Rattus norvegicus: one gene and its partner. The protein of the gene in region 2 purifies or fractionates together with the protein of the main gene of each other region. This does not show direct contact. Links are inferred from orthologs where the notes say so. Each region holds a gene or a part of one and is shown on either strand. Other genes may lie near its edges.

The links. The genes of interacting proteins can lie anywhere in the genome.
Region 1: the proteins of Slc39a7 (region 2) and Fam174a purify together in Homo sapiens (co-immunoprecipitation; 3 studies listed by BioGRID and IntAct, with this or other methods). This does not show direct contact. The link is inferred for Rattus norvegicus from reciprocal best matches to the Homo sapiens genes SLC39A7 and FAM174A.

What each region holds. Positions count from the first base shown.
Region 1 is NC_086027.1:103,188,911-103,192,657, forward strand, and holds the start of Fam174a (membrane protein FAM174A precursor), read left to right. Parts: upstream 1-1,352; 5' UTR 1,353-1,415; coding exon 1,416-1,849; intron 1,850-3,747.
Region 2 is NC_086038.1:4,824,037-4,827,783, reverse strand, and holds the start of Slc39a7 (zinc transporter SLC39A7 precursor), read right to left. Parts: upstream 2,662-3,747; 5' UTR 2,361-2,661; coding exon 1,968-2,360; intron 1,885-1,967; coding exon 1,716-1,884; intron 1,589-1,715; coding exon 1,535-1,588; intron 1,427-1,534; coding exon 1,244-1,426; intron 1,136-1,243; coding exon 998-1,135; intron 822-997; coding exon 625-821; intron 144-624; coding exon 1-143. Other genes in the region: Rxrb (retinoic acid receptor RXR-beta), read left to right, coding at 2,816-3,344. UniProt on the Homo sapiens protein: Transports Zn(2+) from the endoplasmic reticulum (ER)/Golgi apparatus to the cytosol, playing an essential role in the regulation of cytosolic zinc levels.

The DNA.
Region 1 (3,747 bases), on a different chromosome or scaffold from region 2:
GCTAAGCATAAATGAAGATTTGTTAGCCTTCACAAGGGAAAATACCTCAGCTCTTGGTTGAAAATGGCTGCAGAATTAGGTAGAATTCACAGACACTTGTCTTGCTTCGTACCTCATTTTAAGATGGGTGCAGGCTCTCTAGAACATGTCTTCAGCTGTGATTTTTTTTTTTTAAGGACATGAAAGATTTTTCACTTTCTAATGGCTCTTGTCCAAAAGGAAATAGTATTTCAAGTCATGATGACTTCACTCTCAATTAACCTGTGTCCTAAGGTCACAAAACAAGACACAGGAGGGTGAGGGCAAGAGAAAGAATCCACACTGAATACTTTCATAAGTCCTCAGTAGCTACTGCGGGTCTTCAGAGTGATCCTGAGAGCTACCAGGACATGGACTATATTATAGTTCCAGTCTTAAGTAACTGACTCTTGACAGATGTTTGAGAAAGCTAAAATTCTGTCTATTATAAAACTGAAAGAAAGCTCAAGAAAAAAACTAAGCATATTTATATTCAATCCCTTTCCCAGTGCCCCAAGCAGGTGTCTGCTTTGTGTCAGTGTTACTTGATGGAAATCGTAGATAAAGACAACTTTATTCAAATGTAAGAGTACAAAACTTTGATCTCAAGTTCTGAAAATACAGCCTTATGTGTTTGCTAAGTTAATATGCAAACTTTCGGTCTTCTATTAAGTCCTGGGATAGTTTTGCAGCTTAAGGCACCCCATAAGCAGAAACTAGTAAATAGGGACATATTTCAAAAGAATGACTGTAGGTCCCTGGAAACCGACAAGAGGGTTTTATTTTACAAATATTTACATTTTAAAGGAGGAGAATCGGAATAAATAACTCTACATTTTCTAAAGTAAAAGATTCCAAGGAAAGTCGGAACCCTTAAAGCTAGGAAAAGCTCTCTTTAAAGTTTGTAAGAGAGAGCTAGTGTTTACTGATTAGGTGCAGTTTGGAAGTTCGGCATCAAGGAAATTAAAGCGAGTTTGGTATCGCTCACGTTTCCCCACATTCTTTCGTCTTGTTCAGGTGACCCATTCCAGCCTAGCTGTCTCACTAATAGGAAGACTCATGAAGAATGGAAAGCCTGGAATAGACCGCCCGGCTGAGGGTCCCACAGCCACGCGTGCGCAATAGGCTCGAACACCCTGACGTCACTGAGCGCGGCCCGCCCCTACATATTAGCAACCGGAGGCGTCCGTAGCAGCAGTGGCTGCGGAGATGTACGAACTTCCGGTTGTCCCCGCAGGCCGCCGCTGCCGCCGCCGCCGAAGCCGCCCGGCGCAGTCTCAGCCACCTGCTCTCCGCCGGAGAGTGGGCTCTGCGGTTCCGGCGCGCCCATGGTCGGCGCTGCGGACCGGGAGGCCGGCCCGGCGGCTGCGGCGTGCTGAGAGGCCGGCGTGGAGACCATGCCGACCCGGCGCGGCTGCTCCGGGCCTTGCCACTTCCTGGCCTCGGCTTTCGTGCTGCTGTTGCTGCCCGCGCTGAACCAGTCCGTGGTGCTACCGTCGACTGTGCCCAGGGCGGTGCAGGAGTCCAAGCCTCTCGAACCCGGGCCGCGTACGTTGTCGCCGCTGCCTCCCGGACCCACCGCGGCCCAGCCGCGAGGCCAAGCTCAGTCTGAAGGCGCCGGGCCGCGAGGCGCGGAGAGCCGCAATGGCAGCATTCCCGGGGCGGCGTCCGAGGCGGACGGTCCTGAAGGGAAGGCCGGAGAAAGCTCTCTGGGTGGCAGCCTGGCCGTGAGTCCCAATCCTAGCGACAAGCCCATGACCCAAAGGGCCCTGACCGTGTTGGTGGTGGTGAGCGCCGCGGTGCTGGTGTACTTCGTGGTCAGGACCGTCAGGTGAGGCATAGCCTCGATGGGCATCCCCTGAGGCCTAGAGCTGGCTGACAGGAGGCCTGCTGTGTGAAGCAGGGAGAATGTTTGTAACCTGGGCTTCACTCACCCCCTTCTCTGGTCCCCAGTCCCCAGCGTCAGGGGCTGGAATCTAGGACCTTCTGGTTGGCTGTCTTAATGGCCTGTGCTACCTTAGCAGGTGACACCAGCTGTTGCCTTTCATCTGTAATTCAGTAACCTACCTTCAGCATCTTGCTCTCTGAGACTTGCCTCTGCCTTAATATACCCCGAAGTGGAAGTGCTCTCCCATCCCCTGAAATTTTGACAACACTGCTGTGCGATACTTTACATACTACTCTGCACTTGGTGTAACTCACCTGTCAGTGCTGTCGCCTGTTAGAATGCAGTCCTATTTGTCAGTCAGGGTACCACGAAAGTAAAAGCAGAAAGACCTAACGGACCTTTCACTTCTGCAAAACTTACCAGTTGTGTTTCTTAGATGGAGCCCTTGATCTATCCCTAAGTAACTTGTACTCAGTTTATTGGGTACTACATCTCTGGAGAGGTATCAAATAGAGAAGACCCCACCAGAAGGGGGTAGCCAAGAGAACAGCTGTGGAAAAGCTAATGGTTTTTCCTTTCCCTAAAGTAAGAACAGATGGTATTTTGTGAGATTTGTACTGGTTTATTTATTTCCTGTTTTCCAAATTACTTCACACTTTCCCCATAACTACACACTGCATTAGTTAATATGTCTTTAAATCCCCAAAACAGAATTTAGTGTTTTTAAAAGGTGTTTGTGAATGGAAAACCAACATGACTTGTCTCAAAGAATCTTACAGAATTTGTTCCTTTTACACATCTTCATTAGCTACAGTTTTACATTTGTTTTCCAAATAATACATTATCTTACAAGTGTATAAAATACAAACACTTTACTGGTAAGGTTTGAAATTCTACATTGAAACTGATAGCAAGGAAGTCCGCCCTGTCTAGTTAGTGTTGTATATCTTCTTAAAGAACAATCAAAAATTGTGTATTAAATTGATCCCTTCTTTGCCAAGGTGATACGTTCTTGCTGGTGGATTTTCTTTATATCCATTAACCAAATATTACAAATGATTGGATGCAGACAAAAATTTTACAGTCTATGGTATCTTTTCCTTTTTCCCATTTTTTTATTTTTTATACATGGTTTAGGCCAAATGTTAAATAGATTTTTGAAGACAAAAAAAGTCATTCTTTTCACTATTTTTGGTTTTAAGAACAGCTAACTTAAGGGTTAAGGTTTTTAAATCAAGTGTTTTCTTTGTTCAGATCAGGTCAGAATCTACATAGCCTCCCGAATTCTTTAATAAGTTTTAAGAATGGAAAGGAATTTAAAGCACTTAAGAGCGCCTCACATAAACAGTGTCATTGAGCTAGAAACTGTTGATTTACAAAGTTCAGAAAACTTGTCACTTTGTCACTGGGAAGTTAGTATTCAGAAGTTATTAAAAGCTTACGACCACCAAAGTGAGACTTAAGAAATCTTAGCGGAGAATTAAATCATTTTTACTATGTAGTTTTTATTTAATACTGTGCATAATTCCTGTCAGGACCATGTTATCCTTTATAGAAAGCATGGCTATACTGACCATTTCCTTGACGTGCTGCTTGTTCTTGTGTTTTTATTTTGTCCTCCCTTACTTGGCATCTTCTGTAAAAATGGTCACTGCTATCACCTCTCTGTGTTCCTTTCAGTACATCTTGAAAGGACTCACCCTTTTCTGATTCTCGGATGATTCCGTATCCTGTGGTATGAGAAGAGAGAGCCAGATTTAGCACTGTTGCTGATAAAAACTGCATACTTCAGGCAGCGTCTAACCCGTTGGTGTACTTCAAGTTCTACATTTAGTTGGCTG
Region 2 (3,747 bases):
AATCCACCTGCAGTGAATGGCAGAACCCAGCCGGGACCTGCACCACCAGCCACCTCACTGCCCACTGCCCCTCCCTCAGTGAGAAGGGCACAGGCTGTGCCTGCCAATGCTCCAATTGCAGTCAAGAGTTGCAGACGCATCGCCTGGAGGGCAGAAAGGAGAAAGACAGGATCATCAACAACTAAAGGTTGGGGGACCAGTGGGGTACAGCTGTGTGGTGTCCATGTAAGGATAGGAGACAGAAAGTGAGGTGGGGAGATGGACCCATTGTAGTATCTGCTGCACAAACACCAGGGCAGGAGTCTGGGCCCCAGGCACCAGCACAGGAAGCAGAGGCAAGCAGCTGCCTGGGGCTCCCTGGCTAGTTAACATGTCAGCAATGAGACTGCCTCAGGACCACACCCAAGGCCCCCAGCCCCATACCAGCCTGGTAAAAATAAAGGGTCGAGGAGGGGGTACTAGAACAGACATCTCCTGAGAAACTGTAGGCCATCAGAGGCCCTTTCCAGGCTGTACTTATGGGAGGGTTGAGATTCGGAGATAGAGAAGCAACTTTCCCGGGTTCTAAAAGGCTGGATGGTAGTGTAGCTCGTGAGGAACCAATGGCAGGCTGTCAGCACCAACCTGTTTCTTGCTGCAGCCAGACTGGACCAAGATGGCAAAGTCCCCAACCTCATGAGGCACTTCATGCAGCAGGACTGTCATCGTGGTCAGGATCCCAAGCCCTCGGCCCCCACGGAAGGAAGCACCAATGGCCAGCCCGTCTGTGAAGTTGTGTGCCAAGTCAGCAGCCAGATTCAGGTACCCAGACACACGCAGGTCTTTTTGTAAATAGACAAAGGACAAAAATGACTGAAGGTGTCATCACCACCAGTCCTCGAGCTGTTTCGTGCATGCTCACACACGCATGCACACTCCATTTCCTAGAGCCCCACCGTCACCCACAGCAAACACTCTGAGAAACTCAGAGTAGTAAGCCCATCAACTCATCCCTTACCTGAGCCTGTTTTTTCTTCTTCAGGGTTCTGAGGTTTCAGAGGGCCATCTCTGGGCCCCGTGTCTCCTCCTCTCCTTTTCCGCAAGCCCCCTGCTTCCTTTTCATCCTCTGAACTGGGCTTTCCCTTTGAAGGACACTCTGAGGGGGACAGGAGTTGATCAGAGTGGGGAACAGAGCTTTTTCCGTGTCCTGCTCCAGCGGATGAGCCTGAGCGTGTTGTGTAGCAGGCAATGGGGGTGGGCTCACCATGCCTATCCCCGTGTGCGTGGCTGTGTCCGTGCGCGTGGCTGTCTCCGTGCGAGTGTCCGTGTCCGTGCGCGTGCGCGTGTCCGTGCCCTCCTTTCACGTGTCTCACAAACTTCTCCACCACAAGAAAGGCGACAATCCCACTGAGAACCCACAGCCCCACAGAGAGAATGGGGCCCTGGCCTGGGATGGAGGAATGAGGCATGAGGGCGATGCAGACTCAGATATAAGTGCTGAAGGAAGGGAAGAGGCAGGCCTCTCCCAGCGTCCCAGTCCCTAACTCTTTCTCACCGCTGTGGGAGTGTCCGTGGCCAGGCTGTGCCGGAGTATCGTGCGAATGAGGTTCTACAGGAAGAAGGGAAAAAGGACAGATGGGGGATGTGTACTTGAGAACTATTGGGAGACCTGGGATCATTAAAGAGGACGAACAAAACAGCTTGTGTTTCTGAGATGGAGCCCACATGTCACTTACCCAAGGCGTGAGGGATGAGGTGGAGGAAGGCATCTCCCAGGAGCCCCCCAGAAGCAAAACTGAGCAGGATCTGGAGCAGAGAACGATGCCTGGGAGAGTTTGACTCCACAGGGATGAGGAAGAGCACGAAGAAGGGAGCCGCGGAGATTAGCACTGTGGCCCCCAGTGCCTGGAGGAGAGTCAGAAAGCAAATATGGAGTCTTCCAACAATTAAGCACCAGTCCCTCTTCCCCACGTCCCCCGGGGACTCACATAGGCCCAGAGGGTGACAGTGTCCAGGTGGTGCTTGATGCCTGGAGCCCCAGCCTCCCTAGAGGCTCCATGGCTATGTCCATGTCCTCTGTGGTGGAGGCTATCGTGGGAGTGGCCATGGCTATGGCCATGGTGCACATCCTCCCGTGAATGTCCATGGTCGTGGCTGTGGGCATGCCCATGCCAGATGCTCTCATGAGTGTGGCCATGGCCATGGCTGTGGCCATGGTGGAAATCTTCATGTGAGTGTCCGTGGCTGTGGCCATGGAAGTCCTCTTCCACGTCTCTGTGCAGGTCACCATGACCCTCGTGTCCGGCTACCAGCAGCCCCAAAGCTGCCCAGGTCAGCAGTCCCACAGCCACCCAGTGGGGGTCCCGCAGGACCCTGGCCATCACGCTGACCAGAGGAACAGAGACGAGTCTACTTGACTCTCTACCTATGCGGGATCCGCTTCCCTTGAAGCCCTTCCGTCCACTCTATACCACTTGCTCCCCTCTTACATTGTTCCCAAGGCCAGTTCTCTTCATCCCCGACACCCTTCCTGGATGCAGCTCCCCCAAACCTCCCACCCCCCAACACCGCTCTAGCCTTTGATCCGCAACTTTACGGTCTCTCTGGGCCCTCGTCTCTATGGCTCAGTAGTTAGGGTAAAAGCATGGAAAGCGCCGTAAGGGAGCAGCAGGGAGTTCTCACCGGCTCCGGGATCCTCTCCGTTCTCGGTTTGCTGGGACGTGGCACTCGCGCCTCAAGCTCCCGCGAGATCCGGAAGTTCCCTCTTGCCTGCGCCCCGCTACCTTTACCAACATGGCGGCGCCCCGAGGACGGCGCGGCCACGGCCCCAGGGCGCATGCGCGCACCCGGGGGTTATCTGAGGGGACGGCGGGCGAAGTGGCTGACAGGCCGGCGGAGACCGCCTCCTCCGTTTCCATCTCGGCGAGGGGGCGGGAGCTCGAGGCGAGACTTCCCGTCTATACAAAGATGGCGGCCGCGTCGGTGCTGTCACCTCGGTGCCGAGCCGAGCGCGGCGCTTGAGTCGCGCTGCCACAGGCCGGAGCCCGCCCTCCTCGGCGGCTTCCTCGCGCTCCCTGAGTCCCCCGCTCTGCCCCCTGCGCGTCCCTGGCGCCTCTCCGGCTCCCCCACCCTCGGCCCCGGCGTCATGTCTTGGGCCACTCGTCCGCCCTTCCTCCCGCCGCGGCATGCCGCGGGGCAGTGTGGGCCGGTGGGGGTGAGAAAAGAGATGCATTGTGGGGTCGCGTCCCGGTGGCGGCGGCGGCGGCCCTGGCTGGATCCCGCGGCGGCGGCGGCCGGAGAGCAGCAAACCCTGGAGCCGGAGCCGGGGGAGGCTGGCCGGGACGGGATGGGCGACAGCGGGCGGGGTGAGTGTCCCGTGGGCCCGGGCCGGCGCCCCTCGCGCCCCCTCCCCGCTCTCCCGCCCCCTTGTTTGTAAACACGCGCCCTCTCCATCCCGAGGCCCAGCGCCCTCCCCCGGGGCGGGGCGCGGCGGGGGAGCTTCCGCCCTCCAGGTGCGGCGCCGCGGGGCCAGTGTGTGCGGTCTCGGGCGTGGGAAGGACACCATTCCCCTTGGGCTGGAGGACTCTGGGCTTTGGAAGGCTGAGCTTGCGCTCTGGGACTGGGTATATCTTCCATACTCTTCGCCCCGAATGTTCTAAGTTGGGAACGAGGGGTTCACTGGTGCACCTCCACGTGCTTCTTGACACCCCCCTCCCGAGGTCAGCTTGGGATGACCCAATAGGCTCCGCCTGAACTGCCTCCCTTTTT